Macaca fascicularis: one gene and its partner. The protein of the gene in region 1 purifies or fractionates together with the protein of each later gene. This does not show direct contact. Links are inferred from orthologs where the notes say so. Each region holds a gene or a part of one and is shown on either strand. Other genes may lie near its edges. The genes, in order: RAD51 and SQSTM1.

What was found.
Region 2: the proteins of RAD51 (region 1) and SQSTM1 purify together in Homo sapiens (affinity purification with western blotting; 3 studies listed by BioGRID). This does not show direct contact. The link is inferred for Macaca fascicularis from reciprocal best matches to the Homo sapiens genes RAD51 and SQSTM1.

Annotation. Positions count from the first base shown.
Region 1 is NC_088381.1:17,229,832-17,236,691, forward strand, and holds part of RAD51 (DNA repair protein RAD51 homolog 1), read left to right. Parts: intron 1-1,700; coding exon 1,701-1,838; intron 1,839-6,860.
Region 2 is NC_088380.1:186,723,946-186,729,711, reverse strand, and holds part of SQSTM1 (sequestosome-1), read right to left. Parts: intron 2,190-5,766; coding exon 1,975-2,189; intron 1,636-1,974; coding exon 1,440-1,635; intron 523-1,439; coding exon 365-522; 3' UTR 1-364. UniProt on the Homo sapiens protein: Molecular adapter required for selective macroautophagy (aggrephagy) by acting as a bridge between polyubiquitinated proteins and autophagosomes.

The DNA of each region.
Region 1 (6,860 bases):
GTAGCAACTTCTTTTTTTTTTTTTTTTTTTTTTTTGAGACAGAGTCTTGCTCTGTCGCCCAGGCTGGGGTGCAGTGGCCGGATCTCAGCTCACTGCAAGCTCCGCCTCCCGGGTTTAGACCATTCTCCTGCCTCAGCCTCCCGAGTAGCTGGGACTACAGGCGCCCGCCACCTCGCCCGGCTAGTTTTTTGTATTTTTTTTAGTAGAGACGGGGTTTCACCGTGTTAGCCAGGATGGTCTCGATCTCCTGACCTCGTGATCCGCCCGTCTCGGCCTCCCAAAGTGCTGGGATTACAGGCTTGAGCCACCGCGCCCGGCAGCCAACTTCTCTTTATTGACTTAGCTTTGTGCTGTCAGCTGTCATTGGCAGAGAGAAGGCTGTGGTGGTGTTACGGTATAAGAGATAAGCTCCAATTCAGGATTCTGCACAAGAACATTAAGCACCGGAGCTGAGGCCTCACACTATTTCTGCCCATTGTATAGAGACTGCCGTGTGAGTGCAGCTGATTGGGGCTGAGATAAGTAGGGGGAAAGCAGAGAAAGACTTGATTTTTCTGTCTCTTTTTTCAAATTTCCCATCTCCGACTAATCTTCAAGACTCTAGGAGTGCAAAAAGCTTATTTAAAAAAGACTCTAGAAGTTACTTAAATGGATTTGTGATAAACATTTTAAAGTTCAGAATCATAACTTCTGGTGCCGTGAGCATCCTTATACTCATACATGCATATTGCTTATTGCTTAAATATTAACAGCAGACATGGCTTATGTTGGCAAACTAATCTTTCCCCTCTTCTAAATTCTCCCAACCCCTGAATACACTCACATTCACCTACTAACTCATGTTTTCCCAGAAGTCATGGTTTTGGTGGCTAATGAAACCAAAACTGACTTGAATATAGGAAGAAAGAGGTGGATTTGGGTGGTTTAAGAAGAGATATAAAAGTCCCTGACAAAAAGTAGTTTTCCTCACTGTTAATGTCAGTTGTTAGAGCAGAGCTTTCTGGTCATTGTTCAACAAAAAGGTATTGATAGGCCAAGATAGCGCTCTTTTCATTCTGAGCAGCCTTATCTGTTTACCCTACCATAGTGTAAAAATATCATTTTTTATGTGCTTGATATGGAAAGTGCTGAGCAACACGGTCTTAAACTGATCTTGTAGGGCCCAAAGTCTCGGAGATCATTTAGGATCACACAAAAAAAGTTGGGAGTTACTTTTTAATTCCATTTGCTTATAAGAGTTCTTTTTAATATACATGGCATAGTGCTAGTTTAAAATTATTGATTTTGATAATGAAAAGGTTGTTAATTTGTTATTAAGTACCTCATATATAGGGCTCATTTTTCAGCTTTTGCATATAATCCAGTAGGCTCTCTATATCCCTGGATTCTGCATCAGCAAATTCAACAAACTGCATATCAAAAATTCAATCAACTACATATAAAAAAAAAAGTATACAGGAGGATGTATAGAGGTTATATGCAGGTAATATGCCATTTTATATAAGGGACTTGAGCATTCTTGGATTTTGTTATCTGCTGGGGATCCTGGAACCAACTTCCCATCTCCCCACCCCAGGATTTCAAGGGACAGTTGTATTACAAGTCTTCAAGCACCTCTGTGGCGTATGTAGGACACATATCATCTGTGTTAGATTAAATAACTAAAGTTTAAATTTATCCATGGTTTTCTTCATTTGCAGCAGTGTGGCATAAATGCCAACGATGTGAAGAAATTGGAAGAAGCTGGATTCCATACTGTGGAGGCTGTTGCCTATGCACCAAAGAAGGAGCTAATAAATATTAAGGGAATTAGTGAAGCCAAAGCTGATAAAATTCTGGTAAGTACTGCTTAATTGACCTAAGGAGGCATTAGTGGGACTAGTACAAAAGGTAATGTAGTGAAAGACTTCTTCCTTCCATCTCTCATTCTTCTGTCATCTCGTTCTCCTTTCCAGGGGTGACTGTTACCTGTTTCTTTTTTTTTTTTTTGGAGACAGGTTCTTGCTCTGTCACACAGGCTGGAGTGCAGTGGTGCCATCTCAGCTCACTGCAGCCTTCGCCTCCTAAGCTCAAGCGATTCTTCCACCTCAGTCTCCCAAGTAGCTGGGACTACAGGCACATGCCACCATGCTGGGGTAGTCTCGAACTCCTGAGCTCAGGTGATTCACCTACCTCAGCCTCCCAAAGTGCTGGGATTACAGGTGTGAGCTACTGTGCCTGGCCTCTTTATTTTTCTAGCTTCATATAGTTCTTTAACATCCATATTTCGCCATGGTTACATTTTGTTTTATGAACCTATTCCTTCAGTATTTATATAGTTACACAGTTTTACTGCCTTTATCCTTGCAGTTTTATATAGTATAGAGCAGATTTTTTTTTTTTTTTTTTTTTTTTTTTGAGACAGAGTCTTGCTCTATTGCCAGGCTGGAGTACAGTGGTGCAATCTCGGCTCACTGCAACTTCCGCCTCCCAGGTTCAAGCAATTCTCCTGCCTCAGCCTCCCCATTAGCTGGGACTACAGGTACCTGCCACCACGCCCAGCTTATTTTTGTATTTTTGGTAGAGACAGGGTTTCACCATGTTGGCCAGGATGGTCTTGATCTCCTGACCTTGTGATCTGCCTACCTCAGCCTCCTAAAGTGCTGAGATAACAGGTGTGAGCCACCATGCCCCGCTGCAAATATTTATTTATTTATTTATTTATTTATTTATTTATTTTTTTTTTTTTTTTTGAGACGGAGTCTCGCTCTGCCGCCCAGGCTGGAGTGCAGTGGCCGGATCTCAGCTCACTGCAAGCTCCGCCTCCCGGGTTCACGCCATTCTTCTGCCTCAGCCTCCCGAGTAGTTGGGACTACAGGCGCCCGCCACCGCGCCCGGCTAGTTTTTTGTATTTTTTAGTAGAGACGGGGTTTCACCGTGTTAGCCAGGATGGTCTCGATCTCCTGACCTCGTGATCCGCCAGTCTCGGCCTCCCAAAGTGCTGGGATTACAGGCTTGAGCCACCGCGCCCGATCTGCAAATATTTATTTATAAAATTGTATTTTCACGTATCGATTACTGTTAGCGTTAGATAAATTTATTGGATTACTCAAATAAATGAATATTTGTTGAAGTGGTTGCTTAATTGGAAATAAGAAAGAGTTCTGAGTCCTTAACAGTACTTTTGTTAAAAGATTGTCATATTGACTAAGCCAGTAGGGGTCCCTAAAGTCTTTCTGTTTTCACTTTTTGGGCATCAGTTTTTGTGAATGAACAAATGCTGACAGGATCTTTACTTTTTGCCTTGTGAGATCTTGGTTTCAGAAATCGAATCACTTCTCTGCTTCTATGAACACAAAAATGCAAACCTAGAATATCATGATTTGAAATGCAAAATGGTATAGACATATGTGTCTTAACTTTTCAATATTTTATGTTCTTAGTTTCTGGCCAGTAAAGATTATGATTGTATTGTTTGTTTTCCTTTTTTTTTTTTTTTCTGAGGCAGAGTCTCGCTGTGTCACCCAGGCTGGAGCACAGTGGTGCAATCTTGGCTTGGCTCACTGCAACCTTTGCCTCCCAGGTTCAAGTGATTCTCCTGCCTCAACCTCCCGAGTAGCTGGGATTACAGGCGCCCACCACCACACTTGGTTACTTTTTGTATTTTCAGTTGAAACGGGGTTTCACCATGTTGCCCAGGCTGGTCTCAAACTCCTGGCCTCAAGCAGTCCACCTGCCTCAGCCTCCCAAAGTGCTGAAATTACAGGCACGAGCCACTATGCCCACCTTTTAAAAAAAAAAAAAAGAGAGAGAGAGACAGACTCTCACTCTGTTGCCCAGGCTGGAGTGCAATGGCATGATCATAGCTCACTGCAGCTTCAAACTCTTGGGCTCAAGGAATTCTCCTCAGCCTCCTGAGTAGCTGGGACTACAGGCACATGCCACTAACCTGGCCATTTCTACCAGTTTCGTCTTTGCTAATACCTTCTCTTTCTGTTTTTCACCAAAGGAAGTAGTCTATATTCCTTGAGCTCCCATGGCTCTTTTGTTAGTACTTCTTATATTACCCATCACATCTACTTGTACTATAGTTATTTTGTATAGTGTATCTTCCTGATTAAATTATAAGTTCTGTGGAGGCAAGAATCTGCTCTTCTTTTTCTCCATATCCTTCAGAGTCCCTGGGATTATGTTTCATACAGAGTAAGTGTCTAGTATATGTTTGTTGCACGGAATTGACAGTGAGTATATGAATTGGTCAGGCTGGTCTCAAAATCCTGGCCTCGGGTAATCCGCCCGCCTCAGTCTCCCAAAGTGCTGGGATTACAGGCGTGAGCCAATGCACCTGGCCCTGTAATAAATTTTTAAATGAAATATTAAATATATAGAAAAGTTTAGAAAATAAACTTTCATTGACTTTTTCAACTATTTGTTTATTTTTTTTTTCCTTCATGGGAAATTTTAAAATTATAAAAGTTTAATCTTTGTACTTTCCATGGGTCTATTTAGATTTTCTTTTCTTTTTTTTTTTTTTTTTTTTGTTGTTGTTGTTGAGACAGAGTCTCGCTTTGTCTCCCAGGCTGGAGTGCAGTGGCCCGATCTCAGCTCACTGCAAGCTCCGCCTCCCGGGTTTACGCCATTCTCCCGCCTCAGCCTCCCAAGTAGCTGGGACTACAGGTGCCCGCCACCTCGCCCGGCTAGGTTTTTGTATTTTTTAATAGAGTCGGGGTTTCACCGAGTTAGCCAGGATAGTCTCGATCTCCTAACTTCGTGATCCGCCCGTCTTGGCCTCCCAAAGTGCTGGGATTACAGGCTTGAGCCACCGCGCCCGGCCTCTTTTTTTTTTTGGTTTTTTTTTTTTTTGAGACGGAGTCTTGCTCTGTCACCCAGGCTGGAGTGCAGTGGCGCGATCTCAGCTCACTATAAGCTCCGCCTCCCAGGTTCATGCCATTCTCCTGCCTCAGCCTCCCGAGTAGCTGGGACTACAGGTGCCTAACACCATGCCTGGCTAATTTTTTGTATTTTTAGTAGAGATGGGGTTTCACCATGTTAGCCAGTATGGTCTTGATCTCCTGACCTCGTGATCCGCCCGACTCGGCCTCCCAAAGTGCTGGGATTACAGGCGTGAGCCACCGCGCCCGGCCTAGATTTTCTTCTTGAGTGAGTTTTTGTAGTTTATCTTTCTAGGAATTTGCTTATTTCATCTAAGTTATCTAACTTGTTGACATAGAGTTGCTCAAAGGGTTTCCTTATACTACTTTTTATTTCCATAAAGTCAGTAGTAATGTTCCCTCTTTCATTCTTGATTTTAGTAATTTGAGTCTTTTCTCTCTTTTTTTGGTCAGTGCAGCTAAAAGTTTGTCAATTTCGTTGATGTTTTCAAAGAACCAGCTTTTGGTTTCATTGATTTTTCTCTATTATTCTGTCCTTTACCTAATAGTTTCGACCCAACTTGTTTTATTTCCATCCTTCTGCTTGCTTTGTTTTGTTTGCTGTTCTTTGGAAGGTTAGGTTAGGATTTATCTGTTTCATTTTTAGAGACAGAGTCTTGTTCTGTTACTTTGTTGCAGTGCAGTGGTGCGATTATAGCTCACTGCAGCCTCCAACTCCTGGTTCAAACAAACCTTCTGCCTCAGCCTCCCAGGTAACTAGGACCACAGGCACGCTCCACAATGGCCTGCTAATTTGTTGGTTTTTTTGTTTGTTTGTTTTTTTTTTTGAGACAGAGTCTCCCTCTGTGCCCAGGCTGGAGTGCAGTGGTGCGATCTCTGCTGACTGCAACCTCCGCCTCTTGGATTCAAGTGATTCTTCTGCCTCAGCCTCCCGAGTGGCTGGGATTACAGGCGCGTGCCATGATGCCTGGCTAATTTTTTGTATTTTTAGTAGAGATGGGGTTTCACCATGTTATCCAGGATGGTCTCGGTCTCCTGACCTCGTGATCTGCCTGCCTTGGCCTCCCAAAGTGCTGGGATTATAGACATGAGCCACCACGCCAGGCCTTTTTTTTTTTTTTTTTTTTTCTGACGGAGTCTTGCTCTGTTGCCCAGGCTGGGGTTCAGTGGTGCGATCTCAGCTCACTGCAGTCTCCACCACCTGGATTCAAGCAATTCTCCTGTTTCAGCCTCCTGAGTAGTTGGGACTACAGGTGCATGCCACCATGCCCAGCTAATTTTTGTATTTTTAGTAGAGATGGGGTTTCACCATATTGGGCAGGCTGGTCTTGAACTCCTGACTTTGTGATCTGCGCACCTCACCCTCCCAAAGTGCTGGGATTACAGGTGTGAGCCACCGTGCCCAGCCATGCCCTGCTAATTTTAAAACATTTTTTAGAGCCAGGGTCCCACTTTGTTGCTCAGGCTGGTCTCAAACTCCTGGCTTCCAGCAGTCCTCCCACCTCAGCCTCCCAAAGTGCTGGGATTACAGGCATGAGCCACCGCACCCAGCCTTCTTTTCTAATATAGGTATTTATAGCTATGAATTTCTCTCTGAGCACTGCTTTTGTTGGAGCCCGTAAGTTTTGGTTTATCTTCATTTTCATTCATTGCAAAAAATATTTTCTCATTTCCCTTGTCATTTCTTCTTTGACTTGTTGGTTATTTAGGAGTGTGTTGCTTTATTTTTGCATATTTGTGAATGCATTTACTTTTCAATTTTAGAATCAACCCATAGTGCTATTATAGAATACTTATCTGTAATTACAAAATAGAATGTGAATGTTCTCAGCCAGACAATATGAAAGAAAAGGTACGGCTGATAGAGGTGGGGAAGTAGCCATGGAGAGAGAAAAGATGGAAGGGCAAATGTCCTCATTTTTACAAAGTAGGAAGTTAAGGGATACAGTCTGCGGTTGATGGAGCAGGAAATGAAGGTGTACTGTATTG
Region 2 (5,766 bases), on another chromosome or scaffold:
CCGAGTCATTTAAAAAGAGAAAGTGGAAGGCCATTAGGCAAGCTATGTCTGGGCTGCTAATGTGGCCCCTGCAGGGAGGGGCCAGGAGCACTGCGGTGAGCCTCAGGTCTCGCAGGCCCAGCCCTGCTGCAGGGAACCAGAGCACCCAGGAGACCAGTCTTGCTTCTCAGACATCACACACACGGGGACCCTCCCCTCATGTCACTTGTTTTGCTGCCCTAAATGGCTTCTTCCACCCTAACCCCTGATCCCCTGATCCTGGAAGGCGGCAGAGAAACTGGCCCGTACAGAGACCTGCAATTCTACACTAGCTTAACAGCTACGAGACAGAAGAGGGGGACACAGAAGAGGTGGGTAAAAGCGGTCACAATGGCGGGGAGTGCTTTGAATACTGGATGGTGTCCAGAGCCGCCCCGATGTCGTAATTCTTGGTCTGCAGGAGCCTGGTGAGCCAGCCGCCTTCGTCAGAGAAGCCCATGGACAGCATCTGGGAGAGGGACTCAATCAGCCGCGGGTCAGCCTCTGCCAAAACAGTAAGGAAGCCATGAGGAGTGATGCTGAGCCCTGTGAGTGACCCGAAACACACACCCTCCTGCCTTGGCCAGCGGGACCAAGGCCTGCCAGTGTCCGAGTGCCCAGAGCTCTGGCCCTCACAGGCCACAGTGGACCTGCTTTCCCTGTAAAGGGCCAACCAGTCTTTTTCACACTGTTCAACTCTGCCACTGTGACACAAGGCAGCCAGGTGGTATGTAAACAAAACTATCGCTGGACACTGAAATACGCATTTCCTCTAACTGTCACATCTTTTGATTGAAAAATACAAGAACTACTCTTGGCCCATAGGCCATAGCTCGCCATCCCCTGCCCTAAGGCAGAGAAGACACACTGGCAGCGCACAGCAGGTTGTGCACAGACCTTGGTTTACACACACACGGCTGCAGTGACAATGAGGAGTCTCTGTCAGCTGTCCCCACCCCCCACCGCTGCCTTCCACACCATCCACTTCAACGGTGGCTTCTGCCTGGCTCTTCCAGGGATCTTGGCTATGACCCCCACTCAGACCAGCACTCCCTGAGGAGACACTGAAGAGGTCTGAGCCCAGTGTGAGTAGTAGGGACACACCCAGTGCTGCCCCCTCTCTGTGTCACACCTACCTTAATTCCTGGTCTGCATGTTAAGTTTTAGAAACTCCTACAATTAATATTCCTGGCTCTGGAGTTTGCTTAAAGAAAAACATTTTTAGAACTCCTGCATTAGCAGAGCTTACTCACTGCTGCTCAGGGTAGACGTAAGAGGACAAAACCAACTCCTAACCTCCCACACCTACAGACAAGCCCTGCAGTGGAGAACGTCCCATCCTGTTTGTGTCGCTGGAATCGGGGGGCAGGATGCTCTGAAGGGAAAGGTAGGACTGAACACAGAACTCTTGGTTCACTTGCCTGGTGGGAGATGCGGGTACAAGGCAGCTTCCTTCAGCCCTGTGGGTCCCTCCTGGGAGGGGTCCAGAGAGCTTGGCCCTTCGGATTCTGGCATCTGTAGGGACTGGAGTTCACCTGTGGACGGGTCCACTTCTTTTGAAGACAAATGGGTCCAGTCATCGTCTCCTCCTGAGCAGTTATCAGACTCCATCTGTTCCTGAAACAGAACTCACCATGAGCATACAAGAGACACGCGCAACAGGCCAAGCCTGACCATGGCACTGACTCCTGGCAAACAGTCGGGGAGCGTGCACGCACACATGTGTTTAAGGCTGCAGGGGGCTACGGGGATCAGTGAGCCACTCACAAAGACCAAGTAACTACAAAGTTCTAGCAGGTTCCCAGAGTGACTTTAATGGCACAGACATCACTGCAGCAGCAGCAGCTCCCTCAGGTTTCATAAGTGGCTGCATAAGTGCTGAGGATGAGGCGGAGGTGCAGCTACAAATCGCTAGGCTGCCCGAGGTCCCAGGTGGTGGGAGGGGCACAGGCTTGCCTCAGGCCGCCCCTCGGACTCCAAGGCGATCTTTCTCATCTGCTCTGCCAGAGACTGCGTGGCGCCCTCAACATTCCCACCCGGCTTGCTGGGGTCAGAGCAGCAGCTGCTTGGCTGTGAGCTGTTCTTCTCCTCTGTGCTGGAACTCTCTGGAGAGGCAGGGGTCAGGCGGCTTCTTTTCCCGCCGTGCTCCACGTCAATATCCACTTCAATGCCTAGAGGCCAAGGAGGAGAGAGAAAGCTGTGACACTCCCCCAAGGAGGCAGCTGCGAGCAGGAGTGTGGCCTGTGGGGACTACAGACTCATGAAGATCTCACGTTCAGTCCACACAAGCAGGTGAGGGTGTGGATGGCGGCACTCAGTGTGTGGATGCAGGGGCTAGGTTCTCCTACCCAGCTTGACCCCGGAATCACACAGTTAGTATGGGACTAGACGATGCAAACGTGTGAGTCCGAGGCTTCTCCCAATATCCCAGCTACAAATTTCTGTGGCTTCTGGAAACATTCTCGGTGTGCCCGCGATACTGGAGCTTTCTCTTTCTCCAATTCAGTAAAACATTAACCTCAGCTAGCATCTAAGGTCAGCTTCTAAGCCAGAAAGTCAAAGAGACCTTGTTTTTTCTAACCATGCAGGGTATGGGCTACACAGCAGGTAGGGCCAAGCCCTAAGTACGGGGGAGCCAACACTGCATGTGGCGGGCACCTCCAGCCACAGTGATGGAAGGCTGTGTGTGCCTCATGACACTTGCACACAGAGGCTTTGGGTGATGACATAACACGCACCTAAACGCTGGGCTCCGCTCGGAGTGGACAGGCCATGCAGGCGAGGCATGGGGCCCGACGTGGCAGCGCAGGGAGCCTGCACACCTCCAGGCTCACGTAACTCACCAAGGACAGAGGAAAGAATCACCTGCACTATTCTGAAATTAAATAGTGTCAAAAGTCTCCATGCCCACAGCTTAGAGTCACCGGTTGTCAAAGGCTGTGGTGCACACACTGCTCCCATCCCACTCCCCAAAGCCTCCCTGCACCCTTTCAGCTCATGCTGCTCTCACCTGATGATCGAGTTCACATCTGTGCATTTCCTACTCTAGACCAGTATCTGCCTCTCCTTCCACTACCCTTTCCAAGACTCAGTTTTTTGTTAAAAGAACATTCAGTGTTTCAGCTAGTACCTCTATCTAAATGTTCTTTGCTGGGTCAAGGGGCAGACTATTTCCTTGCATAGCTTTTTGTTTTCCTACCACTGATGACGGCTTCTCTTTTTTTTAGACGGAGTCTCGCTCTGACGCCCAGGCTGGAGTGCAGTGGCGCAATCTCTCGGCTCACTGCAACCTCCGCCCACCGGGTACAAGTGATTCTCCTGCCTCAGCCTCCAGAGTAGCTGGGACTACAGGCACATGCTACCATGCCCAGCTAACTTTTATATTTTTACTGTAGAGACGGGGTTTCACCATGTTGGCCAGGCTGGTCTTGAACTCCTGACCTCAGGTGATCCGCCCCCCAACATGCTGGGATTACCGACATGAGCCACCGCACCCAACCTGCCTTCTCTTTTCATTTGCTGACTTTCCCCATGTTCTCCCCACAGCATCTCCATAGTTTTCTACAAACTACAGACTATTGCTCAGAGGGTGAAGTGGATCCGAGGCCCCACTGGTTCTGGTGTTTTCCATAGAGAGTGTCCCCGGCTGTGCAGCCTCCTGTTCCAGCCAGGACTGGCGGCTCTCTGGGCAGAGGCTCTGCTGCACTGCTGTGACCACCTTTACTTTCACCCTCTGTCCTATTAGGTCCCCTGTTTCCTAATAGCTCTGTGCTTCATTTCGGGTTTATCTCTTCATGTGGTTCAAACCAAGGTTAAAATAATTAAGACTGTATACCAGAAAGTAACTTTGTTCTGCCCTGATACTTGATTGTTTTAGATGGTTATAGAACTCTAGGCTGGACCAGGCACAGTGGCTCACGCACGTAATCCTAACACTTTGGGAGAACAACGTGGGAGATCTCTTGAGCCCAGGAGTTCAAAGTCGGCCTGGGCAGCATGGCAAGACCCCATCTCTACAAAATGTTTTTAAAACAGCTGGGCACAGGGCTGGGCGTGGTGGCTCACGCCTGTAATCCCAGCACTTTGGGAGGCCAAGGCAGGTGGATCATGAGGTCAGGAGTTCAAGACCAGCCTGGCCAAGATGGTGAAACCCCATCTTTACTGAAAATATAAAAATTAGCCAGGCGTGGCGGCGGATGCCTGTCATTCCAGCTACTCGGGAGGCTGAGGCAGAAAACTGCTTGAACCCAGGAGGTGGAAATTGCAGTGAGCTGAAATCACATCACCGCACTCCAGCCTGGGCGACAGCAAGACTCCGACTTGGGGGGGTAAAAAAAAAAAAAAAAAAAAAAAAGAAAAAAGAAAAAAAAAAATCTAGGTACAGTGGCACATGCCTGTAGTTCCAGCTACTTGGGAGGCTGAAGCAGAAGGATCACTTGAGCCCACGAGATCAAGACAGCTGTACCATTGCACTCCAACCCAGTTGACAGACCGTTTCACAAACAAGAGAATTATAGGCTGAAAAGCCTTTTTAACTTTTTTTTTTTTTTTGACACGGAGTCTCACTCTGTCGCCCAGGCTGGAGTGCAGTGGCCGGATCTCAGCTCACTGCAAGCTCCGCCTCCCGGGTTCCCGCCATTCTCCTGCCTCAGCCTCCCGAGTAGCTGGGACTACAGACGCCCGCCACTAGGCCTGGCTAGTTTTTTTGTATTTTTTAGTAGAGACAGGGTTTCACCGTGTTAGCCAGGATGGTCTTGATCTCCTGACCTCGTGATCCGCCCGTCTCGGCCTCCCAAAGTGCTGGGATTACAGGCTTGAGCCACCACGCCCAGCTTTAACTGATTTTTTTGAGTCATCAGTTGTTCCACTGTCTCCTAGCTTTTCATGATTGTTTGCTCTTTGTATTCCCAAGTATTTACAATAACCTAAAATTTTAGAAGCCCCTCTTTATCCTCAGGGTTCTGACGCTGGACAGCGATAAGCTTTGCTGTGGGGTCTTTCTCAGTCATTGTCAGGGCCGCTTTCAATCTAGAAGATAAGGTCCTCATTGCCAAGAAACTATCTTGCATTTTTTTTGTTTTCTGTTGTTTTTTTGTTTTGAGACAAGGTCTGTTCTGTTGCCCAGGATGGAGTGCAGTGGTACAATCTAGGCTTGTTGCACCCTCTGCCTCCCAGGCTCAAGCCATCCCCAACCTCAGCCTCCCGAGTAGCTGGGGCCATAAGTACACAACTCCAGGCCCAGCTAATGTTTGTAGTGTTTGTAGACACAGGGAGAGGGGAACGGTGTCTCCCTATGTTGCCAAGGCTGGTCTCAAACTCGTGAGCTCAAGTTATCTGCCCGCCTTGGTCTCCCAAAGTGTTGGGATTACAGGCATGAGCCACCGTGCCTGGCGCCAAGAAACTACCTTGCATTCCATGTTCATTTCCTCCTTTCAGTTTTCTATTCTTTCTGGAATTCCTACTCATCCTATATGGGGCTTCTAGACTTGTTCCTACACTAGTTTTTTCTCTCCTTCTATCTCTGTTCTGCTTTTGGAATATCTCCTTGAGATAATATTAGAATCTAAGCCTTCTTTTGAAGTTTTTTTTCTATTTACATTTTTTAATTTCAAGAACTTTCTTATTCTATTCCCTTTGTTATCCTTTTTATAGTATCCTGTTCCTTTTTCACACAGACAATACTCTTTTGTATCTCACTGAGGGCATTAACATTCTTTTCCCTTTAAGCCCTTTTCTCCCATGTGTGGG